Drosophila melanogaster: one gene and its partner. Changing the gene in region 2 together with the main gene of any one other region gives a genetic interaction. Each region holds a gene or a part of one and is shown on either strand. Other genes may lie near its edges.

Region 1 (4,677 bases), 4.8 Mb from region 2:
TATAAGTAAATGTTTAGCACGTTTTAAGACGGATGCTTACAGTAAAATCGTTTACGGCGGTGATGACATAACGGTCCGAGGCATCCCAAGCCACCATGGTTACCTTAAGCCTCTTTCCCTCCTCTGGTTCCGGGCAGCTGCAATTTAATTACAAAGCTATTAGTTTTCAGAGAATTCCTTACTAGCTAGAAACATTTTAAAGAAAATCGCACTCACCTGGCCAGACGCTCCGTCATGCATAGTTTGGAACTTTTCCACTGCTGCGACTCAAACGTCCAGATGTGTGCTGTGCCGTCCTTGCTCCCCGATATAAATCTCAGTCCACGATGCGACCACTGCACCGAGTCCACGGCATCTGTGTAAGCTTCCGTCTCCAATATTCGCTTCGGACCGTCCTCGCCCATCATATAGACGCGCACATGGTGATCGGCAGACCCAGCGGCCAGAAAAATGCCTCCTGGCGAAAAGGTGGTACACATCATCTGAGCTTGTCCGGGCCGCAGTTTCTCATGATACTGCGTTGGCTTCGGGGCAAACGTGATCTTTTGCCCGCGCGGCGTTGAGTATTGCCAGAAGGCGATCGATCCATCTGTGCTGGTAGTCACCAGATATTTCAGATCGCTACGTGGCGACGGACAAAAGTTAACCGAAGTTATCATGCCCGTGTGAGCAGACAGTACGGCGATGGGTGATGTGGTTTGCATGTCCCACACTCTTAGTATGTGATCCAATGACCCGGCAGCCAGCATCGTATTGTCCAAGTTAATGGCTATGTCTGTAATCTCGGATGAGGCGCCTCGCAGAGTGGCCAGCAGGCGGCCATCTGCCGCTGACCATATCTTAATAAGTAGATCATCGGCTCCGGTGATGATGTATCTTCCTGTGCGATCAAACAGAACACAGTACACTGAGGACAGGTGGCCCACAGTGCGACGGAGCAATTTTGTTCGGCGGTAGAGGTCCGTGGGCACGAGGAGCTTGCGACGGACTTCCCCGCCGTGTTCCCGTCCAGTTAGAACGCGATCTTTGGAAATATAAATGGGTTAGTCTCTAATATGCGAATAAAACTCTACCATGCAACTAACCTAAGTTGTGGGTCGGCTTTGTAAGGACCGAATCCGGCAGCGAGACTCCATTCAGGCGGGTGCAGTAGTCCCTTAAGGAGCGATGGCAGTAGACGGTTTCCTTGGTGCGCAGGAGGTTCTGGCGCCCAGTACCCAACAGCGAGTTGATGCCCGGAACACTGGGCGGAAGCTCGCGATCCACCAGTGGACCCAGACGACTGCATATTTCAAGCAAGTGATTGGCGCCAATGTGCTTGTACTTTCGTTCCTGCGAATTCAAAATCAAAATTTAACGTATTCCTATCGATTGGGCGATAAACGGTGCGATAGCTTCAACAACGTATGCTTGTCTCGTTCCCTCGCGCACAAGTCAAGGCAAAGTGGTGGTTGCTTGCATGTGTCTGTGCGCATGGGCATGTGTATGTGTGAGAAACCAAAATGTCGGCTGGTTGCAGCTAATTGTTAAAACTAAATTACAAAGCATTTGTTTAAAAAATTAAGATTTTTCAAAATTTACAATTTTTACGAGGGTTTTAGAATTTTTGCTTTCCACTTTAGTCTTTTACGAATTTTTGCAATTTTTTGCTGCCTTTTTAATTAAATAGTTGCTTACTTATTTGTTAATTTAACAGTCAGAATGATTGATGTCTTTAGTTGTAATGTTTTTTAAATTAACAACTTGAATTTTGATGTGCAACTTTTTCTCTATTCCCTGACACGATGACGTCACAAAGGCGAGCGAACGACTGAGACGGAAAATGCCGCAGCAGACGCACACTTACGCAAGACTTAAATGCCGATCAAAAGGCATTAAACGATAACTTTGAAAAGCTAATTGATTAATTATGAAAACACTCACCAATTCCTCAAAGGTCTGCTCATGCTCGTTTCCCTGCCAATCGAGACGACGCGGCAAAACCTGGGAATCGAAAGGTGTACGTATATATAGACGGGTGTAAATATATATGCATGCATGTATGACTCTTATCACTTGCACTCCGTGACGTCGACGATGACGTCGCGGGGGCATCCCTATGATTCCATTTCTTTTTTCATGTTTTTCTCTTCTTTTTTTAATGGACTATATATTCACGTGGCCCCAGCAAATCCACAATTCAGTCTGATTCCCAACTCTGAGACAAGCGGACGTACAAGTGGGTTTTTCGTCGTTCGCTGCCGGCAGCAGAAACAACAACAAAACCAAAACAAAGCGTATAAACAAACGCGGTTTTCTATTTTTTTTTTGGCCCCCCTCTCAATTCGAGTCCGAAATATCTGTGCCAAAAACACAGCTGCAGCACCAACAAAACTCACCTTCTTCTCTTCGAGTTCCCGGATCAAGACCTACAGTTGGATAGAATTTAGTTTCAGAATTAATGTAAATGTTTGTAAACAAAACGAAATTCCGCTCTTTTAGCGCGAAATACGATTCCAATGCGATCTCGCGCGAGCGCTGCTTTCAACCCACCTTCGCCGTCTCCTCCAGCGGTCCCGCGGCCAGGAACTTGGAAATGAGGAAGTACAGCTCTGCAAGATAGAGGATTTCACGGGTTTTAGTGCAACAAGTTGTCGAAAATGCGCTCGCTGGGAGTCGTCAATATTCCAGATATATCTGGCCAAAGGGGCCCGTGAATTTCGCTTGGCGAAACGCAGTCGAAAAAACGCAGCCATTCGATTCGAAGGGCGAGCGAAACACAGACACACATTTCACAAAGTCAAAGGGGCTGCCTTTGGTAGCCCCGTTGGACGCACTCGCTGCGCCACCGGGCGGTACGCACCTGGCTTTAGATCATCACCGGAACTGGGTTGTCTAGTTTCCATTATTCATTGCGAATTGCAGCTCCGATTATGACAAAATTGCAGTTGCTTTCTTCTAAAATTCTTTTCGCAGCTTCTTCTTCCCGTGTGACACTCGATTGCCATTCCCACCGAATGAAATGCCTTTGCGTATCGATAGTTGGTGGCGGGGCTCACAAGATGGGTATCGAGTCTTAGCCGAAGGAGCCAATTTTCGTATTTGAATTTGAGATGATGCACTGAAATGCTTCGCAGGATTCTACAATCTAAGATATTTACTTCAAATTGAGAATTTTAATTCTCAGTCAAACATATTCGTAGCCATTGGTTTGGAATTTAAGCTTATTATGAAATTTATATTTAGCTATGTGATTAAATAAACTGTTTGCAATTATTCGCTTTTAATTTTCGAATGTAATTTAATAGCTACTACACAAATTCTTGATAACTAGACTTATGATTTAATGAATAACAAGTGAAATCTTTTTATATTTTTAAATTGTCCCATTGGTGTTGATTATTTTGAAGTTATGTTGCACTTCAGTTCATGGCCATGGCCAGGAGCATTTTTAAATTTCAGAAGTTTTTAATTTGCCATTTTAATTTCAAATGAAATTTCTGTAACTATTTATTATTTTAAAGCTATGTTTATAGAAAATCGATATATACATTATAAAACGTGTGAATTAAACGTGAATACCCTTAATGTCAAACGCACACCACTAGTTATGAATATCGGAGCAGCTGCGATATTTTTTTTTTTTGGGAGGTTTTGCCATTTTCTAATGTAACAAAAAGTGGAGTGTAGCCACAAAGTAAGCGTAAATAATAAATGCTCGCGGCGAATAAACAGCGAAAAAGGCGATAGATAAACCAGCAAACATGGAGTGCAATCTGGGCAGCGAGATTGGTCAGAAGATGCGCGTAAGTCATTGGAAAAAAATCAATGAACTCGTTATGGATACCGCTCGGATTGGATACTCCAATACTATATATATTTTTGCACTTCATTAATAGAGCGCCGTAAAGGCAAAGCTGCTGGAGCTGGGAACCGGAGGATCGGCCGGTTTTATAGACGATGAATTGCCGGACTACGTCATGGTCATGGTGGCCAACAAGCGCACCAAACAGCAGATGAACGCCGAGCTGAATCTATTCCTAGGCGATCAAACTGACCTCTTTGTCACCTGGCTGCACGAAGTGCTGCAAAAGCTCCAAGAGGTCACACTCCCCACATCCAGTGGTATGATGGATATGCTCATCATACTTAAGCACCCACTAACTCCAATTTTTTCAGCTTCCAGCAAGAAGCGCAAGTCTCGCGGTCAGGAGAAGGACAAAAAAGGATCCAAGAAGGATAAGCGACCGCACCGAAAGTCCGGAGATGAGCTGTCGGAACCACAGCCAAGTTCCTCAGATGCCATGCCAATTGTCAGTTCCATCACGGATGTTTTTGCCGAAGAGCTTCTCGAGAAGGCAAAGAAAACCATGGACATTGATCTCAGTGCCAAAGACGAGATCCTGCACAAAAAGAAAAATCGCAAGTCCATCGAGGATGAGGATGCATCGGCCAATAGGGCGCTGGATGTGCCCGCTGTGTCTGAGATCATCTCAACTACTATCGGTGTTAACCGGCAAAAAGACCTCGCTGAGCTGGCCGAAATCCAAAAGAAAATTCATGCAGCCAAGAAGCATTTACGCCAGATTGGCGAGATCGGGGATGAAAGCGATGAATATGATGAGGATCTGTTGAACTTGAGCGCGAGGGAGGAGTCTGTAGACCAGGAGCCAGAAGAGGATCCCCCGAAATTGGAGG
Region 2 (6,833 bases):
CCACTCATGAAGTCAGTGGACTCCCTACTAATCGGCATCGAGACCGCCACGGAATCGGAGTCAGAGGGTGAGTTGGTTTAGCAATTTGAGGGGAATAATCTTTTCAAACTGATGCTGATGCCTTTCCAGACGAAAACTCTCTGCGCATGGACTGGGAGGCGGTGCCCAGCCTGACACCGCAGCCGGAGCTGGCGGATCCCAATCTGATGCCGGCGGCCAACCAGCAGTCTACCATCGCCTTCGTGCGAATGGCGGCCACATCGGTGCTGCGCTGGATCAAATGATCGCAGACCAACAGACGTCCGATCTTTCGGCTATATCATCATGAGACACGCGTGTTATCTTTTACAAATTAGACTAAGTAATCGTTTCTGTGACAGCACGTCGGTGTTTATCGGCAGTTGCTGGTTTTAGCGTTATCCTTTGGTTTACAGAACTAATTTTGTATCAATTATATATATACATATATATTCGCTGTGTGTAAAGAAAATGCGCCTTTTGGATTTATTTCTATTACATAACTTATTCGCCTTTATTTAATAAAAATGGTTCTCTATAAATAAATATATATAAATTTGCTTTATTAATGCTTGCATAGTACACTGACTTAGTAGGTAAACGACTCAATGAGAAACAATAATTAAACTGGTGCAATAATTGGAAAATCGGCAGACACAGCTGCGAATGAAACCTACCTAGAATCAGCACTAGAATCTTAGATTAGAATCGCAAGGGAACGAGCTGAGTGACCCTAGCTAAATGAACTTTGTGGGCAGTTGTTGCGTGGATGGGCGAGCAGCTCCAGTCGTGGTCACCACATCGCCGCCAGCGCTGGGCTGCGGCAGGCTGGGTTTAACGAATACTTGTGGCAGTGTGTTGGCAGAGGCTCCCACCTGGGCGGCGGACATGGAGACGGAGCCGTTGGCCAGCAGGTCGTAGCGCGGCGAGGCGTGGCTCATCGTGGAGAGCACGATGGCGGCGGCCATCGCCTCCTGGTTGTAAAAGGCCGTCACAGCAGCCGGAAGGGGCTGCTGTGCGGCCGATCCCGAATGTCATTGGCGCGTGGGCGTACTGGGCGCTGAGGATCCCATTCCTCCGCTTGCGCCCTTGACGCTGTTCGGCGAGAAAGCCGCTTGAATGAATTGCTTTTCCATTTCCTTCAGATTTGACATAGTTTTCATTATATGCGGATCGGTGAGATCGTACACTGGACCCAGCGTTCTTGGGCTATTGTAGATATACATGTTATTCGCGCTGTAGCCCAGGGATCCATTTACCTGCCCCACCGCACCCAAAGACGACCGACCTCTGTTCTGAGTCTTGTTCTTGGGCTTAGACTGGACTTTCTTTTGGGGCTTAGAGGCAGGAAAAACTCCCACAATCTCAACGCCATCCGACTCGCTGCTGCTTTCCCTGGCTACCGACGTCGTTTGCGCGGCCTTTGAGATGGCGGTGATGACAGTGGTGGTGGCAGCTAGCTGCTTGGACGTCTGAAGTATATCGCTGGTGCATTGATAGTCATCCAGGTTGATCACATGGGGAGAGGGCCGAGCTCCCACAATCACCTTGGCTTGGCCGTCTCCAGAATGCGGACTGGGATTCCCGCTGGCTGCCAGGGAGGCGGCCGTGATCAGATTGTAGAAATTGTTGCTGGTGTTAAGGTCAATTTTCCGGCTAGGGGATGCCAGATCCAGAACCGTACTGGCGGCTGCTACGGCGGCGGCATTGAGTGCTGCTGCCTGAGCCGAGGTGCTCGGCATGGAGAGCAGCGTGTCCAGGTGGGGCAGGTGGTTGTTGTTATTGCTAATGGCTGGTATACTGACGGCCGCCGTGGCAGCCGGCGCCAGCTGGAATTGCGGATGCGGAGTAAGTTGCGGTTGCAGCGGTACCTGCTTAGCCACCTTTTTCTTTGGCGGCTTGCTGGTCTGCTTGGGCATCTCCTTCAGCTTTCGCTTCAGACTGTTGGAGGAGGCACTTGTAGCTGAGTCCGTATCGGAGTTACCTCGAGATCGAGGGTCCTCCACTGCCTTTAGGTAGCTGCTTGCCGGCGGCATTTGCTCAGGAGCAGATACAACTCCAACGGGCTTGGGCGATGCGGACGCCGGCGGTGCCTTTGGCTTCTCCTTTGCTTTCAGCTTGGCGTTCTTGTAGCGTGTTATTTCCCTTTGCAACTCATCCAAACGCATCCAGCCTGGCGGCCACAGTTCCACCACCTTTTCCTTGAGATACCAATTGATGAACTCCTCCAACGATTCCTTGCGCTTGGCTAGGAAAGCGTAGGACGTCCAACGCGCTTGGTACACATCGTACAGCAGATGGCGTAGCTCGCTGGTCCACTGGAACTTCTTACGCGGCATTTTGGGCGGCAGTTCGGAGTTCACGTCCGCAGCTCTGAAAATAATAATCATAATCTAAAGGAACCTAATCGTTATTTCGCTTAACAACAATCTTACGCCTGTTCAGCAAATGTGCGCAGTTCCGTCTCATAGTTGGCCACCGCCTTAGGCATGACCACAGCTACAGCCCGCCGCAGCTTCTCCAGCATAATGGTGGACTTCCTCTTCTCCTCCTTCGCCCGCACTTGTTTCCCTTTGCGCAGCATGTAGTACTTGGGCAGTTGCAGCTGATACTCGATGTGGGAGAAGACCATGTTGCGCTCGTTGCGGTCCGTGCACAGCACCGCCTCGTACACCCTGGTGTAGGTTAATGGATATAAGCCTTAAATCTGTACTTGATGTTTACATCGGCTGCAAACTCACCGAAGCAGTAGTGGCGAAAGCTTCACATCCAGATTAAACTTCTTGCCGCACATGTCTCGACTCTTCACCGCTTCTTTGAAGCTGTTGACTGCGGTCACAATGTCCGCATCCAATGTGGTGGGGAGCAGAGTGTCGGCGGTGCGAAGATCTTAAAAATGAACACGTGAAAGGGTGATTTCAACCAACTAATACTGTATATGTAACTCACTTTCCTGCCCATCCTTGCCATGCTGACCGGCCTGCCTATCTGCCCGGCCGTGCTCAGACTCCATATCGCTGCTATCGCTGCTGGACACGTCGGTGGAAACACACTTCAGCTCGCCGTTGCCGACGCCCTTGACAGCTGCCGTGCCGCTCTGCGACTTCAGGAAGCTGTCTCGCTTGGCCTTTAGCATGTCCTTGACCGTTGTGGTCTTAACCACCTTCTTTAAAGCTTGCGCCTGGGCCTGACTCTGCGGCAGGGACTGAAGCTGACTTGATGGCTGAGTCTGGATAGGGTCTTGGCCGTCTTCCGTGTCCGAAATCTCCACCGTGCTGGGTCGTGGCGAGTTTGAGGATGAGGAAGTGGTGATCGGCTTAGTCGGCGGCTTCTTGCCACTCGTCAAAGAACTTGAGCTTGGTTTGGACTTGCCCGTAACGATGACCTTGGCCCGCTTAGCTTGATGATTGTCTTTGTACTTGCTGCTGGATTTGGCTGTAGCAGCAGAGTCCTCGTCCTCAAGACTTTCACTCTCGGAGTCGTCTTCGGAGTCGCTTTCATCGTTCTCCTCGGAGTCGTCCTCGGAATCGCTCTCGTCGTCCTCCTCATTGTTGCCATCATCGTTTTCGTCATCATCGCCCGAGGATGACGATGAGCTTTCCGAGCTGGACGAGACCATGCGCTTGCGTGATCGCTCTGGCATTTTGATGATGGCATCTGTTCGAGTGGTGTAGGACTTCTTGGTGAGGTTCTTGAACTCCAGTGCGCCACAGTTGATGTAGAAGCCGCCCTCCAGAGTTTCCGCCTCCTCCGGTATGATTTCGTCGTACTGGACAGAACATAGAGTTTAAGGTAAATAATTTCAGTGCATTCGTCGGAAATATTTCTTGTTCTTACGGCTTCCGTGTTGTCGATGAATGAGTCCGACTCATCGTAGCCCATTCCAATGTCCCGGTAGTCGTCCTTTTTGCTCTTCCCCCTGCCTGTGGCATAGGAGTTGCCATACTTGGCCTCCAGCTCCTTGACGATCCGTGCCACATCGTCATCGTTGTCGGCAAAGGGATCAGTGCTTGCGGAGCCATTGGTAGTGCTCACCTGCTTCAGCTTTTTGGTCTTTTTCTACGGATTGCAAGGGTTTAGAAAGCGATCCTCCAACTGAGTTATACACTCTTACCTTTTCCAAATACAAAAGCCGGGAGTAGTTAAACTCGGGATACTTGTTCGAATCGGTCTCGAACAGATCGAGTTTGATGCGGATGCACTTGGCAGTCTTTGTCGTGGGTTTGGAGCTGTTGTCGGGTGCAGCGGACGCAGCATCAGGCTCCAGGATGTTGCTGCCGAAGCGCGAGAAGCCCGCATCGCCCTGGATGATCGAGGTGAGGGTGACGCGCTTGTGCTCGCCCCCCTTTGACATTTCCGGCGGGCAGAGTTACGGATATTCAGTGGGATAGGGTTTCCTTTGAGCCGAAAGGGCCTTCCCGCCCTTTTTTTTCGAAAGAGCCGCGTGTTCTTCGTTGCTCTTTCCCTCTCTCTCTCTCGCAGCCAAACAAAAACAACAGAGACGTCGCTGCTGCTGATGCTCCTCCTCCTCCTTTTCCGCTGCTTCCTCTTCTTCTGGGGATGTCTGTTTTAGGTTTTCTGCACGTACACCAAGCAACCACAACCACTTAATAACCGTGGCAATTTCACTCTGAGCTGCACTTTCTTGTTGTCGCCCCACAAACACTGCTTTATCAACATAAACAAATGGCGAGGACCTGCGCCGGATTGCACTACTTTAATCGCCGCCCGCTTTGCAGCTGCATCCGCCGACCACGGCCACGAATAATTGTCACTTTTCTGGGGGAATGAAAAAGTGGAAACTTTTTGGGGGGTTTCAAATTGGTTGGCTTGCCGGCACGAAAACAACACAGTCTGTAAAAGCAGCGCACCGGGGATTAAACACACGCAATCGACGCTACCAAAGGGGACATTTAAACGATTCGACCAGGCGCTTTTCGCACGGCCAGGAGCGCGATTCTTAAATTGTTTCTTGTTAAAATCCTCAACGCTACATTCTCTCCGCTCCACCCCGCACCAAAGATCCGACCCTGCTTTTGGCTTTCGCACTCGCGTTGCGCAGCACTGGTCGCGGTTTTCGCAAATTACTCCGAGCCGTTCACACTGCGCGCAGCACAAGCCGAGACTTGCTGCGGCTGGCTGCATTTGGCAATATTTAGTTGTTATGGGTGCTATGTATTTCCAAAATTCCGTTAGTTAGAAATTCATTAGCTTGGCATCTAGCTCATTTTTAAAGTAAAGTTTCGAGCTACCAAGTTGATAGGTTACGTAAAATATATAGGTGGCTTATGCTGTTGTAAGCTTAATTGTTTAAAAAGGACCCAAAATCAAAATATAATGTAAACTTTTTTATAACTTACGCGGCTCTAAAACTTTCCAACAAGTAACGAGATCTGGCTTGAAAGCGGCCAACACTCGCACTAGCTTTTGTGCATCCCTGTGCAGTGCCACATTCCACACACATTTCTGCTTTGTTTTGACCAGAACGGGCCGTTGTGCAGCACTGTTCGGCACAGCTGTTCAGAGTATGGGGCCGCGGGTGGTGGGCAGATTTTCTTGGGGCGATTCAGTATTATTTCGATTGTGAAGGAGTTTACTTCGTAGAAAGTCAAGTGCTCGCCGTTTAATTAGCGCAAGTGCAAGTGAGTCGCAGTACGTGAGCTTGGGGGCTTAATTTCATGCGCCCGCTCCACAACAAAAACAAGCGAAACGAAAAGAGTTGCATGCACAGAAATTCGAATTCGGTCGAAACTGCAAGGTGTTATTATAACGGGAATGGCCAGTGCTCGTTATCGGGTGAAAACGATTAGGATTGTGCAATTAACAAAAGTGTGCCGTGCTGCTCTTTTCACAATCCAATCCAACCCAATCCCCAACTCCCCCACCCCCAATCCCCAAGTGGCACCACACAAACACTAGCACATAAACACTTATGCTGCCTTTATGCTTGCAGCCCCACTCGAGCTCTTTTATGTATGTATGTACATATTTATCCAACGAATGCAAGTGACCGACGTCCAAAGAGCAACGTACGGGATACGGAGCTCCGACAAAGGCTTCCCGCTTTCAGTGGTCCGGTGACTTTCGCCGGAGTAGTGACTCCGTCCCAGGAAACCAGCTAAACAAAAAGCCCCCAGCCGCTCGTAAAAAAGTGTCATGAGACAATAAAGGAACTTTAAGAAAGAAAGGAAAAGCGACGAGAAGAGTGGAGCTCCTTTGTTACATCTCTGGAAGAATCGTTCGGCTCCGAAGCAAAGGTGAGTAATACTGCTTCATTACGAAATTACGGGGCCTTGTACATTTGTAGTTCCAAAAAACAACAAGGGGAAATCGTTCATATGGGAAACAAGAGACTACCATTATAAGATAAGATCAGAACTGCGACTGCTTTCTTTTATCTCAAGTGACGTAGTCCAAGGTGAACACAGTAAACACTCGATGCAAGGACAACTTAGGTTTAAACCAGTTTTCTACACTACAAATTATGCAAATGGGTTAGATATCAAAACGAACACCCGTTTTCTTATCATGTCTACAAGTTTCTTTGCAAGAAAAAAAGGTTAGCTACTGAGAGTGTTGCCCGTAGCACTGCTTGAATGATAAACTCTACTCCCAGACATTGAAATTCCTACACCAAAATGGAGTTACGGCAATCGACCTTGAAACATGTGGCCCCAAATGCCTTGCCAACCCAAATTGGTTTCCCATTTTCTATGAAAACTTGTGTGTTTTTTTGGTAATTCATCTATTAAAGGCGGCAGCCAGTTTTTCATCTCAAATGGACAGAAGCCGCACACAAAAATAAAGCGATACAC

What was found.
Region 1: of yem (region 2) and BRWD3, changing one suppresses a phenotype caused by changing the other (phenotypic suppression), as found in Drosophila melanogaster (one study listed by BioGRID).

What each region holds. Positions count from the first base shown.
Region 1 is NT_033777.3:24,317,323-24,321,999, reverse strand, and holds the start of BRWD3 (BRWD3), read right to left. Parts: upstream 3,001-4,677; 5' UTR 2,886-3,000; coding exon 2,843-2,885; exon of another isoform or gene 2,592-2,842; coding exon 2,533-2,591; exon of another isoform or gene 2,409-2,532; coding exon 2,379-2,408; exon of another isoform or gene 2,218-2,378; intron 1,984-2,217; coding exon 1,924-1,983; intron 1,333-1,923; coding exon 1,086-1,332; intron 1,025-1,085; coding exon 217-1,024; intron 138-216; coding exon 41-137; intron 1-40. Other genes in the region: Nab2 (nuclear polyadenosine RNA-binding 2), read left to right, coding at 3,744-3,785, 3,879-4,104, 4,159-4,677.
Region 2 is NT_033777.3:29,117,830-29,124,662, forward strand, and holds yem (yemanuclein), read right to left. Parts: upstream 5,051-6,833; 5' UTR 4,373-5,050; coding exon 4,133-4,372; intron 4,078-4,132; coding exon 3,856-4,077; intron 3,788-3,855; coding exon 2,968-3,787; intron 2,908-2,967; coding exon 2,760-2,907; intron 2,694-2,759; coding exon 2,454-2,693; intron 2,392-2,453; coding exon 1,053-2,391; coding exon of another isoform or gene 756-1,052; 3' UTR 501-755; downstream 1-500. Other genes in the region: Atg14 (Autophagy-related 14), read left to right, coding at 1-67, 130-284. UniProt on the Drosophila melanogaster protein: May play a key role in egg organization. May be a transcriptional regulator having a role in chromatin remodeling in concert with Hira, a histone chaperone. Involved in chromosome segregation by affecting kinetochores function in the first meiotic division.